4 linked regions of the Arabidopsis thaliana genome follow. The protein of the gene in region 1 interacts with the protein of each later gene in a biochemical or structural test. Each region holds a gene or a part of one and is shown on either strand. Other genes may lie near its edges. The genes, in order: TCP8, WRKY28, NAC019 and SARD1.

Evidence for each region.
Region 2: the proteins of TCP8 (region 1) and WRKY28 form a complex in vitro, tested with the Arabidopsis thaliana proteins (one study listed by BioGRID).
Region 3: the proteins of TCP8 (region 1) and NAC019 form a complex in vitro, tested with the Arabidopsis thaliana proteins (one study listed by BioGRID).
Region 4: the proteins of TCP8 (region 1) and SARD1 form a complex in vitro, tested with the Arabidopsis thaliana proteins (one study listed by BioGRID).

Annotation. Positions count from the first base shown.
Region 1 is NC_003070.9:21,510,476-21,517,829, reverse strand, and holds TCP8 (TCP family transcription factor), read left to right. Parts: upstream 1-3,640; 5' UTR 3,641-3,944; coding exon 3,945-5,150; 3' UTR 5,151-5,498; downstream 5,499-7,354. Other genes in the region: AT1G58110 (Basic-leucine zipper (bZIP) transcription factor family protein), read left to right, coding at 456-1,174, 1,266-1,341, 1,445-1,571, 1,709-1,911; AT1G58090 (F-box and associated interaction domains-containing protein), read right to left, coding at 6,205-7,320. UniProt on the Arabidopsis thaliana protein: Can specifically bind site II elements in the promoter region of PP438/PNM1.
Region 2 is NC_003075.7:10,057,526-10,064,943, forward strand, and holds WRKY28 (WRKY DNA-binding protein 28), read left to right. Parts: upstream 1-3,688; 5' UTR 3,689-3,982; coding exon 3,983-4,413; intron 4,414-4,526; coding exon 4,527-4,670; intron 4,671-4,784; coding exon 4,785-5,166; 3' UTR 5,167-5,368; downstream 5,369-7,418. Other genes in the region: KCO6 (Ca2+ activated outward rectifying K+ channel 6), read left to right, coding at 1-21. UniProt on the Arabidopsis thaliana protein: Transcription factor. Interacts specifically with the W box (5'-(T)TGAC[CT]-3'), a frequently occurring elicitor-responsive cis-acting element.
Region 3 is NC_003070.9:19,694,908-19,701,957, reverse strand, and holds NAC019 (NAC domain containing protein 19), read left to right. Parts: upstream 1-3,475; 5' UTR 3,476-3,513; coding exon 3,514-3,694; intron 3,695-3,791; coding exon 3,792-4,060; intron 4,061-4,162; coding exon 4,163-4,666; 3' UTR 4,667-5,035; downstream 5,036-7,050. UniProt on the Arabidopsis thaliana protein: Transcription factors that bind specifically to the 5'-CATGTG-3' motif.
Region 4 is NC_003070.9:27,742,155-27,752,341, reverse strand, and holds SARD1 (Calmodulin binding protein-like protein), read left to right. Parts: upstream 1-3,093; 5' UTR 3,094-3,163; coding exon 3,164-3,255; intron 3,256-3,551; coding exon 3,552-3,630; intron 3,631-4,289; coding exon 4,290-4,827; intron 4,828-5,621; coding exon 5,622-5,782; intron 5,783-5,864; coding exon 5,865-6,053; intron 6,054-6,176; coding exon 6,177-6,273; intron 6,274-6,381; coding exon 6,382-6,581; 3' UTR 6,582-7,119; coding exon of another isoform or gene 7,120-7,323; 3' UTR 7,324-7,552; downstream 7,553-10,187. Other genes in the region: GIP2 (mitotic-spindle organizing 1B-like protein (DUF3743)), read right to left, coding at 7,120-7,323; AT1G73780 (Bifunctional inhibitor/lipid-transfer protein/seed storage 2S albumin superfamily protein), read right to left, coding at 8,174-8,470; AT1G73770 (coiled-coil protein), read right to left, coding at 9,386-9,759, 9,926-10,127. UniProt on the Arabidopsis thaliana protein: Transcription activator that binds DNA in a sequence-specific manner, 5'-GAAATTTTGG-3', to promote the expression of target genes. Recruited to the promoter of ICS1 and other defense-related genes (e.g. PR1 and SID2) in response to both biotic (e.g.

The sequences.
Region 1 (7,354 bases):
TGCTGGAAAATGTGGGAAGATGAAAAAAGCTTATTGATTAACTTGGATGAGTAAGAAAAACTTTGATTAGCTGAAATGAAAAAATGGTTATTTCTTGTAATCGCTTTTATGTGTTTATGTTAATATTAATAAGAAAGCAACTGAATTTGGATGACCTGTTCTGGTCTGGTTGTCTGAATTGGTCAGCTATAGTGTTCTGCTTCAGTGTCAGCTTTATAAAACATTTTAGGCTCTATAGATTTGTTGCATTGATCTGTGTTTGATGTTTTGTTACCAACTTTTTCCTTACTTTATTAGCTTAATTAGGTTTTGGATTGCTTGTTTTGTTCTAAATCTGCTACTGAGTTCTTAGGAGTTAGGCCAAGCTTAAAAAGATTTGATTTTGTGGGTTTTGATGCAATGGTTTAAATAGTCAGATCTATCTTTTACTGTTGTTTTGTCAGGCAAGGGTGACAATGGCTAGCTCCAAGGGATCACAGAGTGTTAGAAACTTGATGTACCCGGGAAAGCATGCTTTGCTCCCACCAAAAATACCGTTTCCTAGTGTATCAGCATCGTATTCCGAGTATATTCCTACTGGTTTGATTGGTTCAAGACATGGTCAGAAGCTTAGTAATGAGAAAACACATCACCAGCGAACTTCCTCCGAGAGCCATTTGGTAGAAGAGCTTCCCTTTTGGCTTGATGATCTTCTCAATGAGCAGCCGGAAAGCCCTGCTCGAAAATGTGGTCATCGGCGTTCATCAAGTGACTCTTACGCTTATCTAGATGTGGCTAATGCTACAAACATAAGTTTGACTCTCCAAAATGATTTCAGTTATAGGAATACTGTTTTATCCACTCAAAGAGGAGTCCAAGAGCTTGACCGGAATAAAAATGCTCAGGATGCTGCCTTCTACTCTGGTGCTAGTTTTCTGAAACAGAAGAGTCGTCAGCGGGATTCTTTGGTGGCAACTGGGGCTTGTCCTTCTTGGTTACCTTTCGCTCGTGAGAACGGTGGCGGAAAAAACTTGGGAGCTTTATATATGTCTCAAGATGCAACAGTAATATCGTCAGAAAGAAAGAACTATGCTGAACCTTTTTCTCATGACCCAAAGATGTTATCTTCTGAGGAAAACAACTCCAATCCTTCGCCTGTGACTTATGAAGCTGACAACACAAAACGAGCCAAACAGTTTGTGATCTCTTTACTCGTTCTTGATTGATGTACCTATTCAAAGCAATATAGAATGATCAGTACTCATTTAGTTTGCTGCTCCCTGCAGGCAATTTGCACAAAGATCACGGGTCCGTAAGCTCCAGTACATATCTGAGCTAGAAAGAAATGTACAGACATTGCAGGTAAGGCTCAAAAAAACTTGCATTCAAAGAGAGAGTAAGTGAAAGATGTAGTAGATTACAATTTGTGCAGCACTGAAGTATGGATTTTATTTTGTGACTATAGGCAGAAGGCTCCAAAGTTTCAGCTGAACTTGATTTTCTCAACCAGAGGAATCTTATTCTGAGTATGGAAAATAAAGCTCTCAAGAAGCGTCTCGAAAGTATAGCTCAGGAGAAGCTTATCAAACAATGTAAGTTTCTCGCAGTTTCTTTTAGGTTCTTAAGGTTCAAACTATAGTCTAGAGTATGAGTTTGTAAGTATTAGCTAGTTATCAAGATTCAACAGTTCTTAAGATTGTATACCTCATGAGTTCTGTCTATTATCCAGTGGAACAAGAAGTGTTGGAAAAGGAGATTGGGAGACTACGAGCGTTGTATCAGCAACAACAACAAACTCAAAAACCATCAGCCAGTCGCGGACGTGCTACTAGCAAAGATCTCGACTCTCAGTTCTCCAGTCTTTCACTGAACACCAAAGATTCCAACTGTAGGCGTGACTCTGTATCTGTGATGGGTCAATTCCACTTTTAGTAAATGTCTCTCTACCCACTGGTTCATTAGAGATCTTAAGGGCCTGGCGACTCAACAAGATCAGACCCTTATCTACCGCCTCACCACAGACGTTTTTAACTCCCCCGTCGTTTCTTTTTTTTTCTTTTCTTATGGTTGACAAGTTAACTCACCAGTGCACCTGGAAATCCTATATTACTTCCAGGAGATGGCTTGCCTGAGGTGGTTTAGTTCGAAGATCAGACACCTGGACTTCATTTATCTGGTGATTGTTGTAGCGACTTGTGTAATATATGGGACGAATATATTCGAACCCGGACTCATCTCTGGAGTTGTACTATGATACCCACTGTTGTATTTTATGTTACTTGTAAAATGGTGCATTCCCTTCGAGTGAATGCTTCATGTAAAGTTGTTGCCATTTTCTGTAGTACTATCCCCAAGCGTCAAAATATTTGATTGCCTCAGATCTGCACTTAATTTATATGCACATTTACAGCTATTTCATTGCTCTTTGTCAAGCCTCTTGAAGGGCCTATATCAACTCAATTGTTATCAGAAAGTAAACTGGTTAGCATTGTTGTCGTTTGGTTTTAGAGGAAACTGAAACGGCTACATTAGAAATGTTTTTGGTAGGCGTGGGCAAAATACCCGAACCCGAAGAACCGAACCGAACCTGACCCTAAAAACCCGATCTGAATTCAAACCCAAAATTTTAAAATACCTAATCAGATCCTAAACTACAAAACCCGAATCCGATCAAGTTTCTGAACATATCTGAAATATATATACATAAAAATAATTTATTAGTAATAATCATATTTACAACAACTATTAAGTGCATAAAATATTAGATTTTGTATATATTTTGGATATTTTACCTACTTTTCGATAGATTCGGATAGAAAATACTCAAGTTTTTTGGAATTTTTTTTGTGTATTTTCAAGTAATTTAAATATATTTTGATACAAAATTTTGAGTTTTGGATATTCCGGATGAACTCGAATCCAAACCAAAAAAACCCGATCTGAATCTGAAATCTTAAAATAACTGAACCGTAAACCCAAAAAGACCCAAATACCCCAACGCCTTACCATATTAAATTAGGAGGAAACCCGTTCATAAATAATTTTTCGGGTTTGGGCCACAACAGACCGGCCCATTTCAACCGGTTCATAAATTCTAAATACTAGAAAATTCCAAATTAGATAAGTTTTTGTCCATCCTTTCTTTGGGATTCTTGACGAGTAACGTTTGATGTCTTTCTTAATTTGGTTGAATGATCAAATTTGTGATCCAAATTCTTACAAACTGATATGTTAATGAATCTATAACCAAAATAACGTCTAAAACAAAAAGCTGTAACGATTTGAAAGTGCATTTTTTCCCAAAACTATATAACTAATTAAAGAATTTAGTGTCATTTATCTAATGGATATACTTTTAACAAAATCTTATAAAACTAAAAATATTTAAGACAAAAGTGAAATGGAGATACGGAGGTGGATTGTAATGAGCTGTCCCCACCTGCAAAAATACGCACGCTTCACTGTCTGAAAGATGCTTATCTCTCTCTTTCTAACTTTCTTAATCCACAAATCTTTTTTAAACCTTTTTTTATTGGTGCTCTAAAATTGGTAAACAATAATGTTGTGATGAAAATAATGTAATTGAAAAATAACATAACTCATATTTGGGTAGAATTTTGATAAAAAAGACTTAAAATAATTGTGAAAAGTTATTTTTCTCCCCTAATTACTTTTTGATTTATATAATAACTAATCAAAAATCAATAAACGTTTTATTTAATGTTAATGACGGCATATATATTATTTATTTTAATAATAATATCCTCTTGCTGGAAAAGTCATCCACCTGCTTTTACATCATCAAACCTTTTTTTCTCTCATCTCTCTCTCTCTCTTCTCGAGACAAAGAAGAAGACAAGAGTCAAACTTGAAGGCGACAATCGGAGCTTCCATGGCCGTTTCTTCCTCTTTCACCAAACCCTAATTTCAATTTCATCTTCTTTTCCCTTCTTTCTCACCGGAAAATGGATCTCTCCGACATCCGAAACAACAACAACGACACCGCCGCCGTCGCCACCGGAGGAGGAGCAAGACAGCTAGTTGACGCATCTCTCTCAATCGTTCCCAGATCTACACCTCCCGAAGACTCAACACTCGCAACAACCTCATCTACGGCAACGGCGACTACAACGAAGCGGTCGACTAAAGACCGTCACACGAAAGTCGACGGAAGAGGACGTCGGATTCGTATGCCGGCGCTATGTGCAGCTAGAGTTTTTCAGTTAACGAGAGAGTTAGGTCATAAATCCGATGGTGAAACTATTGAATGGCTTCTTCAACAAGCTGAGCCAGCTATTGTTGCTGCTACAGGTACAGGAACTATTCCGGCGAACTTCTCTACTTTAAGTGTTTCGTTACGAAGTAGTGGATCGACTCTCTCTGCTCCGCCGTCGAAATCGGTGCCGCTTTACGGTGCTCTTGGATTGACTCATCATCAGTATGATGAACAAGGAGGCGGCGGTGTGTTTGCTGCTCATACGTCGCCGCTTTTAGGGTTTCATCATCAGCTTCAACACCACCAGAACCAGAATCAGAATCAAGATCCGGTGGAAACTATTCCTGAAGGTGAGAATTTCTCTAGGAAACGGTATAGATCGGTTGATTTGTCTAAAGAAAACGATGATCGGAAACAGAACGAGAATAAATCTTTGAAAGAAAGTGAAACGTCGGGTCCTACGGCGGCGCCGATGTGGGCGGTTGCGCCGCCGAGTAGGTCTGGTGCTGGGAACACTTTTTGGATGCTTCCGGTACCGACAACGGCCGGTAATCAAATGGAGAGTAGTAGCAACAATAACACCGCCGCAGGCCACCGTGCTCCTCCTATGTGGCCATTTGTGAACTCTGCTGGAGGAGGAGCGGGAGGTGGAGGCGGAGCAGCGACTCACTTTATGGCGGGAACGGGGTTTAGTTTTCCGATGGATCAGTACAGAGGAAGTCCACTTCAGTTAGGTTCTTTTTTAGCTCAGCCGCAGCCGACTCAGAACTTAGGACTAAGTATGCCGGACTCGAATCTCGGGATGTTAGCCGCTTTGAACTCGGCTTATTCAAGAGGCGGAAACGCAAACGCGAATGCGGAACAAGCGAACAATGCGGTGGAGCATCAAGAGAAGCAGCAACAGAGTGATCATGATGATGATAGTAGAGAGGAGAACTCAAATAGCTCTGAGTGAGTGATGTAAACTAATCTTGTGAAATCATTGAATGTGGTAAGAAATTGATTTAAAGCGTTTGTAGCGGTTTGGTTGATTGTTTTATTGTGAGATTTTGTGTGTTGTTGTTTAGTAGTGTTTAGACAAGAACAATTTATGTGTGAAGGAATTGTTAGGTTTGGGTCCAAATGGACTCTCATGGGTAGAGAATGTTTTCAATGTATAGAAGGAATGATAGTCTTTTCGATTTTTCAGTTTTCATTGTTGAGTTTCTTATATTTTTGTAGGATAAAATTGCATTCAAACCAAAAGAATAAAAATTGCATAATTAATCGCAATTAATAAGTTCCAGTGAAAGAGTTGGTGACAGATCTCACTTCTTTTCTGTATGCTACTTTTGTTTGATTTCTTTTTCGATCGAGCAAGGTCTTCTGCAACTGTTCTTTTTTCTGGCACAAGGATTTTCAAGGCACTAGTATGTATATAATATAAGACACACTGTTCTTTACTTGGAAAAAATTGAGTTTGGATACTTACATGATAGATATTCTAATAACATGCCTAGATGGTTTAAGCAAGCTAGGTTGTATACATCTACTCATTAATGTTTATTTTCAATACTCAGTGTCACTGGGCTTCCGTTCTCTTATTAATTTCAATGGAGTGCTAAAACTAACTTTGGGGAAATAGATAGTTGTTTGGTTCAAATATTTTGTACACATGATATTATTCTAAGACAACATACACGCACTAAGTTAGTTTTCTGTTTTTGTCCTAGTCCGCGCTAACATTTTGGCTTATGTTATAACTTCCTTGGTTACAGTATTCTCCTAATTTGAGCGATAGGTTATAGTGTATATAAACAGGAATCACTGATAGAGAAAGGACGTCGTATATCTTCCCATGCTCACAAATTAGATTATCAATTAACCGAATTAGGCCGAACAAATTGTGGAAATCAATCCTGTAAAAGCTTTATTAAATAATATCTAAATAATACGAAAGCAACAATGAATTTAAAACTTGTAAAAGTTCTTCTTGTTCAGTACTAGCTTCAGCGAAAGTCTCTCAACTCTCAAGGAATGGTGATCAAACTGGGAACATAGACAGAGGATTGAAACTCACATAGCACTTGATCTATCTTAATCTTTTTGCACAAATCTCCCCTCACAATATACACCCAAGCTGCTTTAGGTCTCTTGCTAGGACAACACAGAACAAAGCTCTTCCCATGGATATCATTATCGACAAAGTAACTTGTAGAGATGTAACTAAGTAATATGGGGAAGTCAGGTCTTGAGACTGTCATGAACTTAATCCACACCACATCGTCTCCATCATCCCCGTTACCAATTTGATCCTTTGTCACCCAAATCTCAATCTCCCTTGTTTTTTTGGATTGTTCTAACACTGAAAACCGATCTCCCTTGTAAATCGAGAGGATACGAGTATGTGTAGTACTTTTTTCCCCCTTACACGGTAAAACACAAAAGGTCTTTCGACTCTTTTCTATCTCTTTCGAAAAATCGAGCATTGCGATGAAATACTGACCAGTGTGGGGAGAATTATAAGCTGTCCAGTACAAATTTCCATTCAGGGAGACCCTACCGGAGTCGTCCATTAATTCTGGCTTTTCGTGAAAACGGGTATGATCAGTAACCTTCCACGCATTGGTTGCAAATTCGAAGACTGAATATGTATCAGTAACTTTACCCTGCCAAGAACAACTACTCCTTCCGATAATCTTGTAACTCTTTTCGGGTCTACTACCATCGTAACCAATGGCCTTGCCACATGTATTCTCAGCCTTGGCAATCCATTTAGTCTGTCTCCAAAACAACGGGTTCCAAACAACGCCTCCGCCTCCATTAAGAAAGCTATACATGAAGAAGTTACCATCGCAGATCCCATACAGATGATAACCGCGGCAACTTAAATGATCAAAGCGTAAATCACGCACCTTTATAGTTGGATTTTCGTCTTTGAGATCGACGCTTATCGAATAAATATGTGAATGTGTATTTAACATGATTTCTGGCCGACCGCAAGCAAAGTTTTTGTTGATGAATCTCTTATTCTTGAAAAGAGTGTTCCATTCTCTGCAAACGGATCTGAAGCGAACGAGAGATCGAGGTGGAACTCGAAAGAGTATCTCTTCTTCCAGATCTAATGGAAGCTTTTTCGACACCATTAGGGTTTTCTTTTTTTTGGTTGGAACCATTAGG
Region 2 (7,418 bases), on another chromosome or scaffold:
GAAGGTGGCAGTGGCGATTGATCAATCCTCTGCAACTTTTTGTTTTAGCTTAGAATTACAGTTACTAATTACAACGGATCAACGATCCTAATGATGCTAATGGTGATGATGAGGAGTCCAGTCTCCAGTTTATGTAAACTGGTTTGGACCGATATTATGTCTTTGGTCTTGTCTTGCATAATTGGTTAAGCAGGATTCACTGATTCACATCACCAAAAGTTATCCTCTCCTTTCTCACCCAAGATTATGAAGAGGAATTGTGGGATTTTATCTTAACCGGTTTGATGTGTTGCCAAATGGTTATGTGATCGGTTTACTCTGGTACGATGAGATTTTGATGACCCCCTGTAATTTTTGCAGATATATGGGCTCAAGCCTCAAGGTATATAAATTTGGTTGGATAAGGTTTGATCCAAATTTGTTGGTCCAGTATGCAAATAAAACTGTAACTTTCAAGTTCCAATCTAAAATATGTAAATTCGAATTTCTTATCAACAGTTTTAAAAGAGTTTTACTGATACATCATCAGCTTTTTCATATTAGTTCTTTTCCAGTTAAAGAGAATTTCAATTCGCATTGTAATGTAATCGACCATGTATAGTTACTCAACATATTGATGTCCTAATATCAATACCAATTAATGAAAAATTTAGTCTTTTCGGTTATTTGTTTTTAAATGCATTTTCTTATTCTTGATAATCTATACACAAATATCATATATATTAAATTAATCAGCTGTAACAACTCAAATTTCAGAAAGAGGATAACGTGTGTGAAAGAACAGAAAATACAAGAGATTCCTTTTTATTCATATATATTTTATATATACTAACATGAATAATAATGATAAAAATGTCACACATGACAAACCTAACAACAAACCTGCCCCAACTATTCTATTCCAAAGCTAAAGTCAACAATTTCACTCTCTTTCTTTTTATTCTTCTTTACGTTAAATTGAAACTTAAATAATGTAATAATTATGTGTTTACTAGAAAGTAGAAATAAATTTCATAATAATATCTTTATATGTTAGGCACAAATCCCCAAAAATAGGTCAGACATTTCAACTGCAGACAGATACAGTTATGTATACGTGTAATTGTAAGCTAATGTTTTTTTTTCACTTACAGGTTACAAATTACATAGAGGTCCACGGTCTAACTTTGGGTAATTTAAATGTGGGGCTTATGGATAAGACAACGCAAACGATTAGGCACCAATTACGGCGTTTAGTTTCTGCCTAAATTAAAACTATAAATGTGTATTAATATATATCTTAGTATGCATTAATGTGGTTAGGTACGAGAAACAGATTCATATACCACCATTATGGCATTATTATAGTATGCAATAGAAGATTGAATATATATTTGACTTCGAAGATTGAATTTTTTTTGGTTTAGAGATTATTCTATTACTCATATGGAATCTGATAAGAGTTGCTGTTTCTCTTTCCCAAATTAAAGTATGTATACGCCTTGATGTTCTTGGTCAAATGTGAATGGTTAATGTCTCTTTTGGTTCAAAGAGAATTATTCGGTCTTCTTAATTATTTCGACCAAAGATTACTAGATTGGTATTGATTTTCTCGAAAACGTTTTTCATCGTAGTTTGTTTTGACCAAAAAGCGTTAAAAACATGGAAATTATTATGCCCTTCTTTCATTGATCAAATTTTTATATACCAAAGCCATAGTATTTTGATTCATTCCAATATTTTATACTGAGTATCACTGAGACACTGACTATATATATGTATGTATTCTCGCGCTATCCGTAATATGCTAGGTAATATAGCAGTGATTATTAAACGCATTAAGATCATCATACGTAATTCACGATAATTTGTAATCCAAAAACTTAGGTGTGACCAAAAAAAAAAAAAGAGTTGAATCCTTCACCTACCAAAAAAATGGATTGTGACCAAAAGACCATGACATATCAAATTTTTAGTGATTAAACCGATTTCTTCCAAGATGCTAGTATTTGTTTTTATCTTGCCATATTTTAGTGATTTTTCATAGTAGTAAATATATCACTTTGACCACATTTAAAGTTGATGTATGTCCCCTTCGCATTTGTCATGTCGGTTAGGCATTATATGTCTCCTTTTTTCCTGATCATATGCTCCTATCAATTTCTACAAACTCATGAAAACGATTACTAGCTATATAAATCAAGCATAGGGTTCATAACATGCAACTTTAATTCCCCACAATTATCGCAAATAAAATTGTATATAAAGGGTTTATCGTAATTATCATAATGTTAACATTTTCATAATATAGATACTTTTGGTTTGACCATCTTTTCCTTAATATAAGTTAATAAATTAAGATGCTCTTTTACTTGCAAACAGAAAGTTCTAATGTGAAAAAGAAATTGTTATTGCGTAATCATGATCTCACTTATCCGTCAGCATAAGTAACGATCCACTCCACATAGCTACGTCACTTAAAGTCCCATAGTAACTAATTTTCTTTGAATGTTATAGCAAATTATTAGCAATGTATGATTCTTTGGGTCAAATCTTACACTAAAAACATGAAAATAATTTGAATATCAAGAGATTCATATATTCATATTTTATAACCAAAATATGTAGGGTCTAAATTATTGCTTCTTGACTAGGAATTACCTATGAATAATTATTAAGGTTCGTGAAACAGTGAGGGAAAAAGAAGAAGAAGAAGAGAAGACAGTCTCTAGCACGTGCCAGGTCATGTGTCGGCGACGGTCAAATGCCGGTGCAAGTGTTTCCACGTGGCAGCCTAATACTCCCAAAATATAATCTTTTGTTTTCGTAAACTTTTTTCCCTTTGAATCTTTGACTGCCTCTTACTGCATTCTTCACACCAAACGACCGGCCGGTGACTGAGTGTTTCCGGTTTCCGGTAACACATAGTCTTCGCTGACTAAGACTCCTTCAATAACGTCGTCTTCTTCCACGCGCCGTTTAGTCGTAGCGCGTGTTATCAAGCCCGTCCACTATATATGCCACGTATAGAGTGGGGAAGAAAATGAAGGTGAGAACTTTTCATGTCCTACTTTTTGGCCCCATAAAAAAGGCAGCACACAAAAATAACCCAAAATTTATGCATGTTTATCAAATGTGGAAAAATAAAAGTAGAATTTTAGGAAATTTATACGAAGATACAATGCAAAGACTCGAAGAAATGTATTTAGTGGTATAGAAATACTTGCAAGTAAGCATATTCTGAATTAAAAATATAGAAGCTTAAGTATGTTTCCTCACTAGAAGCCAGTTTTGCAGCTCTATTTTTGTCAACTTAGCTTTACGTAAAGTTCTTATTGCCCGAAACCAAAAAGTCATTCAAAAGGCATAACATGATATCACAAATAAAATTATCATCTACTTCTATATCTTATTTCTTGAATATATATATATATATATATACCTATCTATTAAGTTGCTTATCGTTCACATTATTAATTTATAATTAACTTTATGTACATTTGACTGATAAACATTAAAAAGACTTATTTGAACCTTTTTGTATATGAATTCAAAATTATACTGATAAAATAACGTGAGGAAGAAATATTATGAAAGCTTTTAACATATAAATTAATTTGCATAGGAAAAAATTACACAACTTAAATTGAGATTAGTTAAGAAACAAGAAAAAACAAAGTTGATAGAAAAATAAAAGTATTAACACGACTTTGGATTCACACACGTACCATTGAATTATATCTCAATACACTTTTACTTAATTAACTTATTTCCAAACCAAGTAGCCAAAATCATATTATTCTTCTCTCTCTTCCTTTTTTGAGTTTCAAAATGCATAAATACGAGAACGAGAGACGAAGACCAAATTAAAGTCCAAGCACCAATCTAGACCTCTTAGGAAAAAAACCTAAAAACCTAATCCCCAAACCTAAAAGGCTTATCTCATCTCTTCTTCTTTGTCTTCTTTACTCTTTTTTTACCTCTCTCTTCATTGTTCTTCACCATGTCTAATGAAACCAGAGATCTCTACAACTACCAATACCCTTCATCGTTTTCGTTGCACGAAATGATGAATCTGCCTACTTCAAATCCATCTTCTTATGGAAACCTCCCATCACAAAACGGTTTTAATCCATCTACTTATTCCTTCACCGATTGTCTCCAAAGTTCTCCAGCAGCGTATGAATCTCTACTTCAGAAAACTTTTGGTCTTTCTCCCTCTTCCTCAGAGGTTTTCAATTCTTCGATCGATCAAGAACCGAACCGTGATGTTACTAATGACGTAATCAATGGTGGTGCATGCAACGAGACTGAAACTAGGGTTTCTCCTTCTAATTCTTCCTCTAGTGAGGCTGATCACCCCGGTGAAGATTCCGGTAAGAGCCGGAGGAAACGAGAGTTAGTCGGTGAAGAAGATCAAATTTCCAAAAAAGTGTAAGTCATAACTCTATAGGAACTTTTATGCAAAACATTGAACATCATTTGATCTCTTCGTTTAGGAATTTAGTCTAGCATGTGTATTAATTTTATAGTGTATTATTTTTCAGTGGGAAAACGAAAAAGACTGAGGTGAAGAAACAAAGAGAGCCACGAGTCTCGTTTATGACTAAAAGTGAAGTTGATCATCTTGAAGATGGTTATAGATGGAGAAAATACGGCCAAAAGGCTGTAAAAAATAGCCCTTATCCAAGGTAACTAAACTTTCCCTTTTTATTTTTTGAAATTGCTAGGCTTGTGAAAATTTGTGTTTAGAAAAATGCGACCATTATAGTGTAACTGATAATAGCCAATGGAAACGAAAATAGGAGTTACTATAGATGTACAACACAAAAGTGCAACGTGAAGAAACGAGTGGAGAGATCGTTCCAAGATCCAACGGTTGTGATTACAACTTACGAGGGTCAACACAACCACCCGATTCCGACTAATCTTCGAGGAAGTTCTGCCGCGGCTGCTATGTTCTCCGCAGACCTCATGACTCCAAGAAGCTTTGCACATGATATGTTTAGGACGGCAGCTTATACTAACGGCGGTTCTGTGGCGGCGGCTTTGGATTATGGATATGGACAAAGTGGTTATGGTAGTGTGAATTCAAACCCTAGTTCTCACCAAGTGTATCATCAAGGGGGTGAGTATGAGCTCTTGAGGGAGATTTTTCCTTCAATTTTCTTTAAGCAAGAGCCTTGATCGATCATTGTTATAACTACATATATTATATATATTGAGAGAGAGAGGTAGAGAAAAAAAAAACTTATATGTAACTTAAGATCTTATTTTGTCTCTCTTATTTGCATGTACATATTTTTTCATGAAAGAATGAGACAGTTGGGCTTGCTTATATATTTGATGATGTTTAATGTGTTACCGTTGGATACATATTTTCGCTTCCATTTTGTGAAATTATATTTTCTTCTTTTGGTTAGTTTTTTACATTATGATATTATGCTGTGTAATTTGTACTATCATATGTAGAAGCGAAAAAGACATAACTCTAGCTAGGAGCCTACGATTGATCTCCCAAATGTTGATTATAATATATACATATGCTTTTGGGAAACTTAAGTATTAAATTGACAAGTTCAAATGGTCAACTTCTTACTGATTTATATCTTAATAATCAAAAATTACAAAAAAAAGTTACAAGCTCATATGTGATGAAGAAATTAGAATCGGAAATTTAATGTAAGGGTGTTGATATAAAAGGTTCAAGTTGTAGACGACGAATATCTATGTGTGTGAACAAGTAAAGAAAAAACAAAACAAGTTGAGATCTAACCTTGTGTCCTAAGAGAATGGACCCGAATAAAAGATTTGACTGCTTCTGCTTTCTATCTTATCCACACACACATGGAAACATAGACTGTGGACCAATAATATTACCCCTACCATCAAAACTGAAAACAATGTTTTAATTCAAAAAACGAAAAATAAAAAGAAAATACTAAACAATAATAAAATTATATATCAAATCTCAGATTTATAAAGAGTGAATGAATTACAAAAAAAATTTGAAGGAACGAGAAGGATGCGAAGAAGAACCTTAGAAAAAGATCTCTTTATATATTAACTTGTAAATGTGTTTGTGCAAATGAAAGTATAGGCAACAAAGTAATAGTGGATTCTCTATATATAAGTATTTTATGAGGAACAAGAGGACCAAATTTCTGAATTAATAAGCAATACTATTATTTGGGAGCGCATTTGTGTCATATACCAAAGTCATTGAATTTAGCTGAAACTTGAAATCATGAGATGAACGAGTCATGAGATCATAGAACATGTGGATTTCTGAAATTTCAACATGCGCGCTCCAATGTAACTTCAGTTTCCTATTTGAAAACTATTCTTAAATTTTGAAATTCAACTGATATGTCCAATCTCGAATCTTTTCATTATCAATTATCATACTCAATTTGTATTAAATCACTTCAAATACAGTAGTTTTTTTTTTTTTAGTTTAAAGACGTTTCTTAAAGGTTTTAAATGTTATGACACATTCACAATTATCATCACTGGTAAAATTTGCATTGGAGTGTTCTTGGAAAACATTCTTTCAATATAGTCATAAAATTACGTTTGACATATAATTCTTACAAACCTAAGGTATATTCGCAAAAATGTTATAGCAACTTTGAGAAAACATATTAAATATATACATAAATCCTTTCTATGTTCTAGATTTTGACTAAATATGTACATGTTTTGACTGAAGAATGATTTGGCCTACACAGATAACTATTAAAATGATCATATACCAAGTCAAATCATATATTGAATCATACGGGAAATCCATTTGACACAAATCTGTATTAGATGGAACATTTATTTTAGTATTTTCATATTATTTTGCTTATAAAAAGAAATCTCGGTGATAATGATTTTGGTTTTGTTTTCGGGGTCGTTATCAAATTCACCTAACAAAAACAAAAAAGGAAGCCAGAATGTTAGAAAGAGAAGCAAAGTTATAAAAGATCTTCCGGGAGAATCAAGTAATTGCCAAACCCCCTAGTCCCTAGACAACTACAATCATATGACAAACATTATATTATTTTAGAAAATACATACAAAAGCTCCGTTTTTAAATTGAAAAATAAGCTTATATCTAAAGAAAGATCAATTTATTACGTCAATTTTAAGAAGAATTTTAAGCATATTCTAATGGTGGAATATCATCTTTCAAATACTTCCCAAACACCAAATCTAGGCATCGAAACCGTTGTGGACGTGTAGATATCATTTGTAATCTATTGCCAATGACCGATTGATTGTATCATCATCAAAATGAAAAATGCGTGGATATTGTAAAAATAAAAATTTTAGTTGACAAACTCATGTCATGCGACATAACTCATTGGGTCAGGCAAAATACTACATTCGAATCCAAATCTGGCAATTATAGCTAGCACTATTCCTTGTATCAAACCGGTAATAAAGCTAGA
Region 3 (7,050 bases), 1.8 Mb from region 1:
CTCTTTCTAATACCGAAAGTTGTTTAGTCTTTTACACCGAAAGTTGTTTGTTTGTTTTCAACATCACATTTCCAAAATCATTTTAATTTATTGTCATCTCCAGACTCTTAAATAAAAACGATATATGTGTGCATAGAAATACATAGACCTTTTTAACAGGTGCATGGGTAATTTGAATAGTCAAACATGGTTCCTATTGAAATACCTATATTTTATATAATAAAGTTTAAATATACACATAAATAAATAATTAATGGTTATAACTTATAACTATATTAAATAAATAAAAACACTGTCCACATTAAACATATGTCCAATACAACTTTTAAACAAAATCTAAACATAGTTTGAGATGACCCTAAACAAATACATTATGATATCCATATATTCTCAACGAGTAAAATAGTAAATGATGAGTGTTAATGTCAAGAGCTTGTTTCGTGGGCTTAAAAAGAAAAAGAGCTTGTATTGTGGGGGTTGGCAAACGTATTTTTGCGTCGATATCTAGTCTCACTTGTGAAAATTTAATGTGTCTAAAGTGGGTTTGGGCTTAAAAAAAAACCCATCATATTTAACATTGTTCTTCAAGCAGTATGGGGAGTCAAAAAAACCAACTCAACACAAATCAAATCGAACAGTTCCACCGAATTTGATATTTTTTTAAAGTTCACATTCACACCTTTAAATAGAAGCTGGTGATACATTTCCTAAGGAAGTGATTACCAGAATATCCCACTCACTTTTTTCTTTGTTTTAAGTTCCGAGAATAGTCTTCAACTATTATTATCAAGTAATGTTTAACTTTCTATTATTTAAAAATAAACTAAAATTTTTTAGCATCTACTTACTGATAAACGTAGTCACCAGTCATATTAGTTCTTTGATAGAAACGTACTTTAGTGTTTTGAGACGAGATTTTTTTTCGAAGGACCACTATATTATTTGTTTCGAGTTTAAAATATTTTCTAACTAATGCTAGAGAGTAGTCAAGCCAATCCAAAGTAAGTTATCTTTCAAAACTCTGCTTAATTTGTTTATTAACTAAATCAGATTCTGTAAACTTTTTTGTACCATGGTGGATTTAAATTTCAGCTGATAATTTTAAATGTTACGGAAAAAAATTCTGGATCAGTTTTAAATAATAAAAGAAAAAAAAATACGAATACATTTAACAAATATATGTCATCGAGTAAGATAACCTAAACTTTCGGATACACACACGTGTAAAAACAAAAGTACTTTGTTCAAATTCCAAGAAATTATTAACTGGAGAAAAACAAAACAAAGGATAGCGAAAATGTTATAGATAAGGCAAATTAAAAACCAATCTTTGACTACCCATTCGTTGTCATTTGATTAAATGATAAAATATAAATCATTGATTTAAAATGAGAGATAGAGGTAAAACAAAATATAGAAAAGTAGCATCAAATGGCTGTTAGCACGAAAACTATTGAGTGAAAGAAACCCTAAATCTTTAAGTTCCACTATAGAATTAGATAACGATCATAATATAGTGATATATTTGATATCTCGTCTCTGTGACTCCGTCTAATCTTTTGAAATGATGTCCTCTTCCTCACTTCACTTCATCAAAAAAAAAAATGTCATATATATGTATGCTTAAACTTTCATAAAAAATTTAATGATTTCAGTAAAATGTTCTAGGGTTAGATTATATTATAATATAAATTTCAAGAAAAATTCATTCGTAAATTTTTTTCATTTATGAAATACCACAACTGCATGAAAACTAATCAATGGATAAATACAGACAAAAAAAATTACATCAATACGTGATCTTATAAAACAAAATCTGAATATATGTATAGGGTCTATAGCTAATTTCAATTTCGATTATATTATATGCAAACTTGATGTGGATTACTTATTTTTCGGTTAAGATGTTTTATCTATGGTGGATTTACATAAAACTCAACAAATAATTTTGCTAAGTCCTTAAATTAGTTAGACATATTGGTGAAACCGACACTAAAAATGTAGATAAAAATATTAATTTATACATTATCCAACAAGGATTTTATCCAAATCGTGGTATCTATGTGATCTAATGGTTATAAGTGGAATTTAGGTGTTCTAAACATGCTCAATTAGTCAATTATATACTTCACTTTCCAACTCAAAACAGCATATTCCGAGCGAACAATATGGATTTTTATACTATAACACCCAATTTCTAAATTAAACAAAAATTGCGACCATTATATATGGTTCTATCTTTTAAAAACCATGGAACTAAATGATGAAACTATGAAGTTTTTTTTTCACAAAAAAAAAAAAGAAACTATGAAGTTTTTTACCCTATATTTTTTTTAAAAAAGATACTATGAAGCTTTGAAGCAGCTACTACGAGTTGTGTTTGTTAATGTTTCTGAAAACAAAAATAAATTGAAAAAATCTTTAGTCAACATCAACTCGTGTTTTTTCTCTTCTCCCATCGTTATAACGTCTTTTTGACAAATGACAAATTGCGCCTAACTTCTACGATAGACACGTGGACACGTGTCGTCATGATGTAGTTTTGTCCGTATGGAAAACGCTTTCCATGTTGTAACCTAAGATACATTGAACAGTTCCTTTGTCCTTTCAACTTCGCTTTTTTCGAAGCTCTTTCCCTTACCCTACCACAACATTACGCGTGTCCTTCTTATTACAACATTTGGCACATATACATTTCAGAAAACCCGTCAACAAAAAACACGTGAAATAAAATATCTCTTCCTTTACCAGTTCACATATTTCATGGTTACTGTTCAATCATTTCGCCAAAAAATCTTTTTTTTTTTGGGTACAAATTTGGCCAAATAATTGTTCCTTTATTCTGAAATTCAGTCCCCTACACGAATATATAGACCACCAAAAAGTACATGGACGGTTCAATGTTGATTAAATCGACCAAGATAAAGTCAATAATGTTTTGTGGTTTAGATGTCGTCTGGTTACTATATTGACAATAAACTTTGTAAATAAAAAATATCCTTAAAAAAAAAAAAAAAATCCTAAAAGGAAAATCGAAAATCATTTTTTTAATTTGTTTTACATTACTTAAATAATTAAATAGACAATCCTAGGAAAAAAATCTCGATTAAATTAAATATTATATGTGAACTCCAAATGTCTAAGCAGCAAATTTCCAAACATTCATTTGAATCTTATTTTGATTGGAAAATACTTTTAAATTTAGCGGAACATTATTGATAAATAGATGAATAAACAAATGTTAATAAAAAAAACCATTTAAAAAAAATAGTACGAGGAAGAGCTAAATCTACTCATGTAGGTTCAATGAACTCAAGGGATTGCATAAATCACGACGATCTAACTGACACACGTGTCAGAATTCAAAAGTGTTTATAGATAAACACAAAAATGGGTCCCATATTCAGTACACACGTTAATCAGCGGCGGTGGATTCACCTATACACTGCGTCCATATATAAGTAGCACGAGACCCAAACATTATTGTCAAAAATAAGAAAGAAAGAAAAAAATATGGGTATCCAAGAAACTGACCCGTTAACGCAATTGAGTTTACCACCGGGTTTCCGATTTTACCCGACCGATGAAGAGCTTATGGTTCAATATCTCTGTAGAAAAGCAGCTGGTTACGATTTCTCTCTTCAGCTCATCGCCGAAATAGATCTTTACAAATTCGATCCATGGGTTTTACCAAGTAAGTATATACTAATTGAAACCCTTCTCAAAAAATGTTTATTTTTCTTAACAGAGATTCATAATTTTCTTGGTTTTTCTTCTTTTGTGATTTATAGATAAAGCATTATTTGGAGAAAAAGAATGGTATTTTTTTAGTCCTAGGGATAGAAAATATCCAAACGGGTCAAGACCTAACCGGGTTGCCGGATCGGGTTATTGGAAAGCTACGGGTACGGATAAAATAATCTCGACGGAAGGACAAAGAGTTGGTATTAAAAAAGCTTTGGTGTTTTACATCGGAAAAGCTCCTAAAGGTACTAAAACCAATTGGATCATGCATGAGTATCGTCTCATTGAACCTTCTCGTAGAAACGGAAGCACTAAGGTAACAAATAAAATCTAAACATTAATAAATACTATATCTTATATTTTCTTCTTGTAGTGTTTTGAATGACCTATAATTAATATTCTTGTTAATTTTCTTTAGTTGGATGATTGGGTTCTATGTCGAATATACAAGAAGCAATCAAGTGCACAAAAACAAGTTTACGATAATGGAATCGCGAATGCTAGAGAATTCAGCAACAACGGTACTTCGTCCACGACGTCGTCTTCTTCTCACTTTGAAGACGTTCTTGATTCGTTTCATCAAGAGATCGACAACAGAAATTTCCAGTTTTCTAACCCAAACCGCATCTCGTCGCTCAGACCGGACTTAACCGAACAGAAAACCGGGTTCCACGGTCTTGCGGATACTTCTAACTTCGATTGGGCTAGTTTTGCCGGTAATGTTGAGCATAATAACTCGGTACCGGAACTCGGAATGAGTCATGTTGTTCCTAATCTCGAGTACAACTGTGGCTACCTGAAGACGGAGGAGGAAGTCGAGAGCAGTCACGGGTTTAATAACTCGGGCGAGTTAGCTCAAAAGGGTTATGGTGTTGACTCGTTTGGGTATTCGGGGCAAGTTGGTGGGTTTGGGTTTATGTGATGATGAAATGCTGACGCAATAAAAATAAGTCGTTAATTTTTGTCCCGTGGCAAATCTTATATGTATTTGAATTTCAATTCTTTTGGGTTAAGAGGGAGACTCATAGATTTAGATGTAGATTTGTAATCTTTCATGCATAGAAAATTTGACGAATAGATTTCGTAACTTTATTTTGTTGCTGTTTGGTTATCTTTGTATTGGTATAAATTTAGTGGATTGAAATTGCATATTGATATATTGTTTAGTTGTGGCTAGCTATACATGTAAGTTTAATTGTTTGAGCTATCCAAAAGAATATATTTAACTATCTCATGCATTTTTAATATAAGCATACGTTATGTAATCATAAACCTACATACAAATCTTTTCTGTTTACGAATATATAGTAACACACCACAAATTGAGAGACTTACTGTATATACTGTATTTGAAAAAGGAGCGTTGGGTTAGCTGAACTTAGGTGTGTAACGTGGGCTTGCTTGTTTGACCATCTTGACAAGAGATTGTAGAGAAACAGTTTATACCGTACAAGTTTCAAACACATGTTTATTGTGGGTCGACTAAATGCGTTTGCAATTAGGGTATGAATGATAAGAGTAAAACACGGAATACTCGATTTTTTAACTGTACCTAGGAAAATCCGACCTAATAGTTTAAATTTAATTTCTGACATGAATCATGTAAAAGTTTAAGAACATCTCTAATAAAGAGTTTTCAAAACATTAAAATAACGAAATAAAGAATTGAAAGTACCAAAAATAACCATTTAGTTCAAAAGAGGATGAGAATACTCAAAAAGGGTTTTAAACTATTCGAGATGTTCTTATTTTGATTTAGAGTGCGCGTTAACACAATCTCTAGTACACATTAGCCACATTGTTACTGAATATATGTGGTTCGCTGATCATACAATATAATTCTATCTCCTTCCTTTTTCTGTATCCTCCATGACCATTACTGCTTTTCAGAAGCTTTGACCATCCTTTGAGATATGTCTATTTTCTGATATTTACCAAATAACAAAGTGGATCGTCTTGACGAAAGCCCAAAAATTAATTATCTCTGTTTTTTTCTCCTCTAATAAACTAGTCTTCTTCCGTCGAGTCATGCACTCATACTGATAATATCATTATTTGAGTGTGGGAAATCTTCGGGAGGAGAAACTCATATTTGTCTTTCCTTAGACCTTGTTGATTTTGTTGATGTGAGAGGTAAACGACACCCGGAAAATGGTCGAATGAACGGATTTTTTTACAAACATCTACATGACCTTCACTTGGTTCGTTCTCTATTAGTCGAATAACATGACATACATGCATCATAATTAAAAACACACAACAATTGTATTTATTTTGTATTTACAAGTTCCATTAAAAATTTAGATACTCAGATTTGTGGAATGTAAAATTCCAATAGCAAACTAGTGTATTGATTGGCCCATGGGCCAAATGCCCAAATATTAATTTTCCATCTATTTGGTCATTACTCAAAAAAACCTCTAATTAAGGTGTAACTCAGAAGAAGGAATATATAATTGCATTCTTTAAAAAAAAAATCATCTAACTAAGGTTAAGAGTTATAAATTTGAATAAAAAGACATTCAATACAGAAACGTGGAGGTTCGTAGTCACATATTGTCGCCAAATAAAAAAAGACAGTACATACAGTTTTTGTGAATTTACTAATCAAATATAGAACTTGTGTCGGGTTTTAAGCGGATCATGTTTTATAATTATAGAATTGTAATGTGTTATTGGTTATATTATATAAATTTCCGTTATACCTAGCTATAAAAATTAGATATAATCTTAATATTCTTTTCTAGACTTCATGTCTAGCTAAAATTTTAAACTGAAGAATAATCCTTACACGATTTATAATTTGAAATGGAGGAAGCATAAATACAAACAAAAATGTTTCCAAATATAAATTTAACAACAACAACACACACAAAAAGGGTTTTGGCTTTAAATACACGAGGGGTTTGTATTTATTAATAAATTGTGGCTAGACTTCAAAGCAAACGCAATATCTTAAATCATAACAATGACATTTGTGATTAGAATAAAAATACATTTAACCGAGACATAAATTTTTATTTGTTTGGTGGTATTTGCACATGCGTGATCTACGAGTGGTTCGAAAAGCTCACTAATTATAGATGACAAAGCAGATAATTAAGGAGCGGTCCTTAATCACTTTCCTAAACAAGCTTTAAAACAAGGCTCGATTAGTAAAAGCAAACGACTACAAGAATCCAGCCTTTTTTTTTTTACGGAAAATATTTAATTAACTCTGGACATAATTACTGTAACTTGCTATACTCAATACATACGCATGACGTCACAATGTACGTGTTAAAAAATTAATTGTTTTCTGGTAGA
Region 4 (10,187 bases), 6.2 Mb from region 1:
CTTACCTATACCAATACGTTTCAGCCCATTTGTATTGAAATGCCCAATTTTAGTTACAAGTCTTGTCCTTTTCTTTCCGATGAAATTTACTCTACATATTTATGGGAAGTGACATTAGCAGGATTGAATTAGTCCATTTTAACAAATCTTCTTCATCCATATACATATGTATTTAATTACGATCTCTTAAGAGAGGCCCATTTCCGTTTTAACAAAATCTTCTTCATCCCTGATAGTGAGAATTTCAATTTCAATGTCGCCGATCATGTCGACGGTAAATCCCTGCATCTTTCTTCAAGACGCTTCTCATAGTTCCCTATTTTCTCGCCATTTTATGATGAATGATTTCATATAGTCACCTAGATCTCTTTGAAAAACCTTTTTTTAAGACCTCGTATGAATCTGATAGACTTTATAGATCTTCGTACATGAATCCGATAGACATAGATCATTGTTTTAATTTTGAACAGTAGATTTTGTTCTCTCTTTGTGCAACATCACAAAATTTAAGTTTGAACCCTAGAAAATTTAGGAAGCTATATTTGTTAATAGTGGTTAGTTATCATACATGTATTATTGAATTAATAAAGTTAGAGAGATTAATACAAATAATAAAGGAAAGTGGTATAACTTGCAATATATAAAATTCCTAAATACAAGGAATCTTTAATACTTTTGCAACACTAAACACAAATTGCTAGACTGCATATTATGAGCAACCTAGTTTCTATAATTTTTCTTTTATAGTAATATACTTTTCTCATTGTTTGACGAATACTTTTTTGGGAACTGTGAATTTTTATATGTTTTTCTTAAAATTTATAGATTTATAATAAAATTTTAAAACATTAAACTATATATTTTACTATATTTATTATATATAATTTATCTATATATTAAACCATATTGTTTTGCCTATGACATCATTTTTTTGCACGGCTCTGTATTTAAGTGATGTTAATTAGAGAATGTCAGTTATATGATTGGCTCGTTGAGAGTGGTCAGATTGCTATGAAAATTTCGAAATTTCGTTTTGCGGCTCTAAAGATCGGCTTACTGTCAGCGTCACTATTTCATATGAAAGTCCTCATGGTGGGTTTTTATAGGTGGATAAGACTTTCATGTTTTCTAAATAAATTTTATTTTGTAAATATATAGAGTTACCAAAATATATGATTTGACAGCTTATTAGTTTTTACGGTTTGTTTTTCGTTGTTTGATTAGGTGATTCGTTGTTCACTTACGTGACTAATATGATTGTTTATTGATAAGATTTGGAGATGACTCGAGCTCATATAAACTAAGCCATTGATGTCGAAAAACTGTTTAAAAAATTTAGTCGCTAATGTATACTCACGCGGCTGTATTGTCCCGTACGCGGCCACTTTTATTTTGTATTGAAGTACTAACTTACGTTTTAAAAATTAGACTGAAACTCAAACTAAAATCTGTTTTGTCCCGTACGCGGCCATTTTTATTTTGTATTAATGTTCTAAATTACATTTTAAAAATTAGACTCAAACTCCAACTAAAATCTCCAGCCAGCATATATATATAGAATGTTGCTTAGTCAATAGTAACAAAATAATTGCAAATGTAAAGGCTGCTTCCAAGAAAAAAAAGGCAGTCCTATATCTTTTAACTTGATATCTTACAAAGTTATAAAATGGATTACTCACATCATAGTCTTTGAAAAACTAAAATTATTATGAAAAGGTACATATTAACACACCCAAAAATAAAAAAAAATAAACGTTCTTGAGTTGGCAACCCCTAAAAGTGGATGGCAATTCAGAAATGGGCTTTTAATGTTTAGATTCCATAAAAAGTGAATAGATGGTTCTTATTCTGTGTATGTGAGATATCAATATCATCGTGACAAAGACTATGTGACAATTACCATACAATTTATCATGGAGGCAAAGCATTACAATTATAATGCTACCAAAAATATTTTGAAGTTAAAACAAAAAAAACTTATTAAAGTTAATTAAAAGCAAGATTTTCGACAGAGACTAAACAGAGTCGATTGAAGCTAAAAGCACGACAAGTTTTGAGAGGATGATTGAGATTTGTAACTCACCCGACAAGAAATTACCCGAAAAGGACAAACCAATTCAATGAACCTTCGTCGAAATCATTCACTTGACCCTTTATATAGTATAGTTTATATTAACACATAAGAACTTGGATAATTTTAGTTTCCTTTAACGCATGACATTTCTATATTAAATAAAAACTATTGTTGTTTTTTGTTCTCCTGCTTAACTTAAAATGACAGCTATTAAATTATCAGGATATTTTTGGAAACCGATGTAAACCGAAAAAAGGTTATTATAAGACTTTCTTTCCTTCTTTCTTATTTGCTTAAAAGATATATAGTTCAATTTTTTGTTTTCTTGCTTAAAGAAAAGATAGTTCAATAAAATTGTATCTATATAAAAGGGATTGCTAAATAGACATACACCGTATTTATCGGACGAGACCAAGAAGTTCAGGTTATTGCAAACTTTGCCTTTTTGACATAAACTTTAGAAAACAAATCTGAACCTGTCTTTTTCTCTGATTTTCATAATTTTTACTAATTAGGTTAGAGAGGAACAAACATGAATCCGAATTATATAGACAATCAATTTTTCATAATTAAGTATGTTGATATGATGATATCAATAGTGTTAATATTCTTACAAGATAAAGAAAGGAACAAAAATTCTTCGAAGAACGGACCGGATCGATCGTATACTCGTAGTGCTCTCTCTACAAGAAGTAATCATGTGGCATATGGATCACGCTTTATACTAGCAGTTAGATCTAAAACCCAATCGGGTGGGAAGATCGGAACCGTCCATTTGTCAACAAAGGAAGCTTTCTAAATTGGAGTTGACGTCAAAAGTCTCCCTATTTATGACGCCATAAATAGATTATTCGCGTGGATCAGACTTCGGACTTCTTTGGATATTGCCAGGTTGTTTCCTTTGTCGTTCTTCGAACTTTCTTTATTTTTTTTTATTTTTTTTTGGTTTTTGTGAGACTAAAGACTAAAACTATATAAATATCATCGCCGTATAAGATTATGTCAAAACATTACAAAACCTAGTTTTGATCTAAGCGCTCTCTCTCTAACTCTCCCTCTCTTTCTCTCACAACTCACCAGAACAATTCCATGGCAGGGAAGAGGTTATTTCAAGATCTTGATTCTGACCAAGAAAATAAGTCCGAGAAACGGATTAAATCTGTACTACCATCCCTTGCCTCGTAATTTTTCTCAGAAACTTTTCATTCTTTTTTTCTTGTATTGTGTTTATGATGAATCATTTCTACAAATCTTAAGTTTTGTTTGGAACATGTTCAGTGTTCAATCCTCTTTTTTTCTTACACATCTTATCCTTAAAATCTAAATATAAATATATGCTTGTATTTTATGTATATGTTCTATTCACTCTCTCTCTTATCCTTAAAATAATATCTCCTTTAGATCTTACTACTCTTGGATTTTATTTTCTATTCACCTTTTTCTGATAAATTTTTGTTATATTTTTTGTTTCTTGCAGGCCAATTTCCAGTGTGTTTGGAGCATTGATCTCAGAAAACACCCTTCGTTCTGTCCTAGAGCCCGTTATTAGAAAAGTTGTAAGTATACTATAATAATTCCACTTCTATTTTGTTATTTCTAAATACTTGTTCTAACTTCTAATTAATGTAGTGGATATATATATATATATATATATACATGGATATTTCAAATGAACGAGTTGAGAATTAGAATTTCATACTTACCATGTTTAATCAACTACACATACTTAAAGTAACAAGTGTAATTTAACATACAAATATACTAGTCTAGCATTGACGATGTCTAGTGTGCGAATTGGAACTTGATAAAATAAGAAAATTTCGATCATGTTGCTAATACTATATACATTTTAGGTAACAAACATATGCATGTACATGCATAGTTGCATTCTTATATCATATATATACACATACGTTATTAAGATAGTACTAAATATTTACAAAGTTATAAATCTTTTTAGTATTATTAATAAACAAGACCTCTCTAACCTAACATTTCAATCAACTATATCTAGAAATAAAAGACAAAATAATGGTCCACACACGTACACACACACATATATGCTAGTACCTTTTAAAAGATCTATATATTGGCCTACATATTTAATTTATTAGTATGTATTGTTTAATTTGTGTAATAAGGATATCAAATTATTTGTTAATATAAAACAGATAAGAGTGTTTTATAACTCTACTCGTTTTGGTAACGTGACCAGGTAAGACAAGAAGTGGAATATGGAATTAGTAAACGATTTCGATTATCTCGGTCATCGTCTTTCCGTATCGAAGCTCCGGAGGCGACTACTCCGACACTGAAGCTAATTTTCCGTAAGAACTTAATGACACCAATATTTACAGGGAGTAAAATCAGTGACGTGGACAACAATCCACTTGAGATTATCCTTGTTGATGACTCAAACAAGCCGGTGAATCTCAACCGTCCAATCAAACTAGACATCGTTGCTCTTCACGGAGATTTTCCTTCGGGTGATAAATGGACTAGTGATGAGTTTGAGAGTAACATCATCAAAGAAAGAGATGGGAAACGGCCGTTACTTGCCGGAGAAGTAAGTGTGACGGTGAGAAACGGCGTTGCAACAATCGGAGAAATTGTGTTCACAGACAATTCGAGTTGGATTCGTAGCCGTAAGTTTAGAATCGGTGCGAAAGTTGCGAAAGGGAGTAGCGGTCAAGGCGTTGTGGTTTGTGAAGCGATGACTGAAGCGATTGTTGTTAGAGATCATCGTGGAGAATGTAAGTTTATTTTTCTTTATTACTAAATATTTTACCTAATTAGAAATTAATGAATATATAACAAATAAATCTATGCATCATATATAATGAGTTTTGTGCATATATTCATTAAGCAGTACTCCACTAGGGGATGTGATAGTAACATATCACTAGTTTCAATTATCTTTGACCTGACCACATTTGGCATCTTCTTATGGATTACCCTACTATCAATCATACATAACCTTTAAGATAATCATTTATACAACACATGTGCATCAGAAATCCATTAAAATGATGTTTTGTTTTCGTCAAAATTTATTTGCATAATTTCGTTTTCAAATTTATTAACATATCAATCTATATTGATGCTTTTGGCTTTATCTTCTTAAAAAGAATCTTAGTTTTTCTAATTAAACACTAGTATAGAAATATAAAATTTTTTGGGTATTACAAAATTGTTGTATCTTGTCATGATATGTTTTGGGCTTTTGGCTACAAATATTAACTATACTTGCTTTAATTTGTCTTAATATATATACACATTCAATTTTTAATTCTTAATTAGAAAAAAACTACTAAAAGTATTTTCGATGTGGACCGTATGCAAACGACTATCCCACTTTATACAAGAGCCTATAAGTCTTTGGTCAATCAATGCTTATATCGTATTAATTAATACTCTGTATATTTTCCGAATCTTATAACAATCAACAAACACATGCATAAAGCGAATACATATAAAGAAGATACATAGTAGAAAACTAGATATAATTCTAAATAGTTTTGTTTTGTACAACTTGGGGTTGGTGAAGTGTACAAGAAACATCACCCACCAATGTTAGAAGACGAAGTGTGGCGGCTAGAGAAGATAGGCAAAGATGGGGCCTTTCACAAGAAGCTCTCCTCTCGCCACATCAACACTGTCCAAGACTTTTTGAAACTATCCGTCGTTGACGTCGACGAACTCCGTCAGGTTTAAATTCTTAGCTTATTTGACCCCTAAATTTTTATTATTATTAGAGAACTAATAGGAATAGGGGTTTGTTGATGTACAGATTCTGGGGCCTGGAATGTCTGATAGAAAGTGGGAAGTAACATTGAAACATGCTAGAGAGTGTATTTTGGGAAATAAGTTATACATTTCTAGAGGACCGAATTTTTTCATGATTTTGAATCCGATATGCGAAGTTATGAAAGCACTTATCGATGGTCATGTTCTCTCTAGTCAAGAATCCCTCAACCAGGTATTGAATGGTCATTTTCTCTCTATTAAAGAAGTTAAGCAATTATTGATAGCTCAATGATTGTTTATTAGTTAGAAACTGTATTTATTTTTTTAATTCATCTATGGTAATGTTTTGTTGCAGCCCTACGTTAAGAACTTAGTTCGAGATGCTTACTCAAAGGGGAACTTTTTAGAAGTGGGCGAACGAACAGCGAACGAGGCTGCTCTTTTGACACAAGGTATTACTTTAAAATAGTGTCAACATAAACACCATTTCAGTTTTTCTATAATTGCGAAACATCGTTGATTATATAGTATGTTACAACAATGTAATTTTGATTATATAGGTGATGATTTGGACCAACAATATGCTGCGAGCCACTACCAAAACATCGAAATCGATAAATCATATCAACAAAACGGATATGTTCAAGAGAGATCTACAAACAATTTGGAGATAGTAAACGAAGGGTATATAACGACTCCAGCGGAATTCAATATATGTTTCACCGGATCTTCGTCTCAAAATCATATAAACCCTTTCTAAATCCTCATCTACGTTAGTATTGGAAGACACGCCATAGTGCCTTGGCCGAGATTGGACTCTTTCTAAATAAGGGTTTAAACTTTAAACTACTACTACGTACATGATGGTAAAACATGTATTCTAGATCTGCTGATCATGATTGTACATAAAAGTGTGAAGTTTAGAGTTATATTTTTAGTTGGATGGTATACCACTTGTTCACGTTTTCACAGTTGTATGAAAACGTTGTTTTTACCATTCACGTTCAACAAATTTTTACGTTTTTACGTTTTAGAAAAATTGATTCCGCTGTATATGTACGTACTTGATGAAAGTATTGACTAAAAAAAGAAATCAAGAATATGAGGGTAACTTTGTGATTTACTTAAAGAAAGCCTCTCAAAAGGATTGAGTGGGGATGACTCAAATACTTATTACCAATTTGTCTCTGAAACTCTCTATTCAATTACCTTACCAACCCTAATTTACACATCAATAGCATAATGAAATTGAAACTTAGAAAACAAGCATGAATGATACTATTTGATTAGGCATCTTCTTAATCAACCGTAGTTGTTGTTGTAGCAGAATCCCTACGAAGCTCCTTGACGAGAGTAGCGAGAGCCTCAGGGTTAAGACCAATATCGCAAAGAGCTATAAGAACAGACAAAGTATGTCGATCAAGACCTGTCTCCAAGATGTTCGACATCCGAAACACCAGCTCCAGTGACTCTCTCGCTGTTTCAGCTGCTTCCTGATTCATAATACTCTGAAACCACCAAACATCATCCAGAACAAAAAAATATCAATTTCGGAAACGATTCAATTTACATATGAATATCTACTCTATTCTTGTACGGATCTCCATGGATGTACAGAGAATGGAAACCCTTAAAGTGGAAATCGGAGACTTGCCGACGGATCAAGAGATACATTAGATCGGAAAAAGGTTAAGGAACAAAACGAACCGATTAATCGACGGAGAAAACGAACGGCGTCGAGTTTGAGAGAGAAGAAGTGAGATCTTAGAGCTTGAGATAATTGAGAGAAACGATTCTCGATCTCGTGATCGAAGAAGAAGAGGCGAAAATGGGCCAACAATTAGAATTTAGAAATCTAGGGTTGTTTTTTTTAAGAAAATAAACCTTTGGCCGGTTCAGAGTATATTTACTGGTTCATATCAAATCGGTCGGTTAAATAAAATCCGCCGGTTTTAATACAATCGAAGTCTCTGAACTAGTTTTAATCAAGGGATTCTTTTTTGTCGGAATCAAGGGATTCAAGACCTTGTTATGATTAATTCGGCCAAAATTGACAAAATTGCATCCAAATTTAGAGACTTATTTTGTAGTGATATCCTTGAAATTGGAACTTTTAACTTTTAAGTAGCTTATGTTAGTCGAATTATCCGAAATTTCTTAAAAACATATCAATGTGAATATGTGATGATCAAGATTTATTCCTTGACGACAAACACATTAATGGAAAGCCAAACTCAAAAGTAAGAAACTTGAAGTAGAAAAACCATCGATGATGAGCGAACAGAACAGAACACCTTTTTTGGTCTTGAAAGCAAGAAACAGAACATCGAAAACTAGAACGAAATACTGGGACTAGCATTTCGGATACGGACAATGACAATCAGTGGCGATTATTTTGGCGTTTGGGGAGTTAAGGAAAGATTTGAAGTTAGGGTTCTTCAAGTACTGGCAGATACAATGCTGTTGCTCCTTCACCTTGCTGCAACACAGATCCGATGGCTCAGACCCTTTCATTATGGTCTCCAAGCATGGACTCAGCTGCGCAGGATTACATGGATCTACTGCAGCGACTCTGTTTTCTTGGGCAACAATTAAAATGAGAAGGATTGTACAAGTGAAAAACACTGGTTTTGTGCAAGAACCCTTCATTGTCTCACTAAGTTATAGAAAGAAGAAGAAGATATTTGGTTTGGAGTTTAAAGTGGGTTTCTCTCGTTCTATTTATAGAAGAAAATGTCTTTGAGTGAGTCACGTTACTCAAACGAGAGTTTGTGGTTGCAGGAGATCTCGATATGTCTAAAAGAGATTAACTTTTTTCTAAAAGGCTCGGACAAAGCATAAAAACACCTAGGCACCATTTTGGAGAAGTTATGAAACCACGTGTAACCAAAATAGATGTCAGCTTTCGGCTACCCCCAGTGAAGGTATATGAATTTGTTGACACTTAAACAAAGTAATGAGAACACCTTCATAATTATATATTTTACTTCATTACTATTGTACTAAGCACAAAATATGACTTAAATTTCTAATTATATTCAAAAGGCAGAACTTACAGCCAACATGGACCAAAAACTGATCTGTTTCCATTCACTAGGCAGTTGCTTCCTTTCAAAATCTTCAATGTAGTGCATAAGTCTGTGGCCCAAAACCAAGACCAATTAGAGTTCATTGATCACAATGTTAAACATATATCAGGCCATGAAAGAATAAAAGAAGATAAGCTGCAGTATATATTAAGTTTACTCAGACACTTTTCTAGAATCCATATTCTCCATGTGGTATCAGCCACCAAGGTTTTCATACTTAGCACATAATGAATAGGATAAACAAAGCCCAAGACACATGATTAAGCAAGCAATCACACGCTTAAAGATTAAATAGTCTCTAACAAGCACAGTGTTAGAAAATCTCTAAAGTACTAAATAATTTGTATATCCATTTAATCAAGTTATACAAGTAGAAAATGCAAAATGTGACAAAAAAATAAGAGACTGTAAAATACAGAAGAAAATGTTCTCTTTGCGAGTACCGTATGGTGCGAAATCCAAAACTTACCATGTGTTAATCACTTTCAGAGTAAGAATAAGACGAGCGATTAGCTTTCAGGGCATCAGTCTTAATATTGACATCAGACAAGCCAACATCATTGAAACCATCAAACTCTACATCGGAATCAGACGAATCACCATCTCTCAAGTCATCACTCTCAATATCTGAATCAGACGAATCACCATGGCCATCACTCTCAATATCAGAGTCAATATCGTCAACCTTATGTGCATCGTTAACTGGATACTTACGCACCACATCCATCACTTCATCATCACTATCATCGTGCTTCCCTGATAACTTCCTAATCATCAATGCCTCAAATAAATCAGGTATAGCATCCTCATTTCCATCATCCAAAAAGCTTTGAATTCTTTTTTTCAGCTCTGAAATACCAATTGGATTAAGAAAGTAAGCAAAATTATAATCTTTACATGAAAAATTATGAGCTGATCAGCTAACTCTGTCATTGCAAAATTCTCTTCCTTTTCATTCAAAACTGTACATTTTCTTGAGAACCAAACAAAAGAAGTTGAGTTGAAGAAATGTCACCTTCTTTAGAAAGAACCTCTTCAGTTCTGAAACCACGCGACGAGTCGGACTCGGAAGAGAAGAAGACGAACCGGGAAATAGCTCGTTCGAAGAGAGGAACAACAACACGAGGGTTGTTGATTCTCAAATGGCGGAAATTTGCGGGTGAGTGAAGGATATTTCGAGCCAGTAAACTGGGAACTCTCTGCAGAAATCGTCTCATGGGATTCGCCTCAAGACTAGGGTTTATCAGAGGATTAGGGATTTGAATCAAGAGCCAATA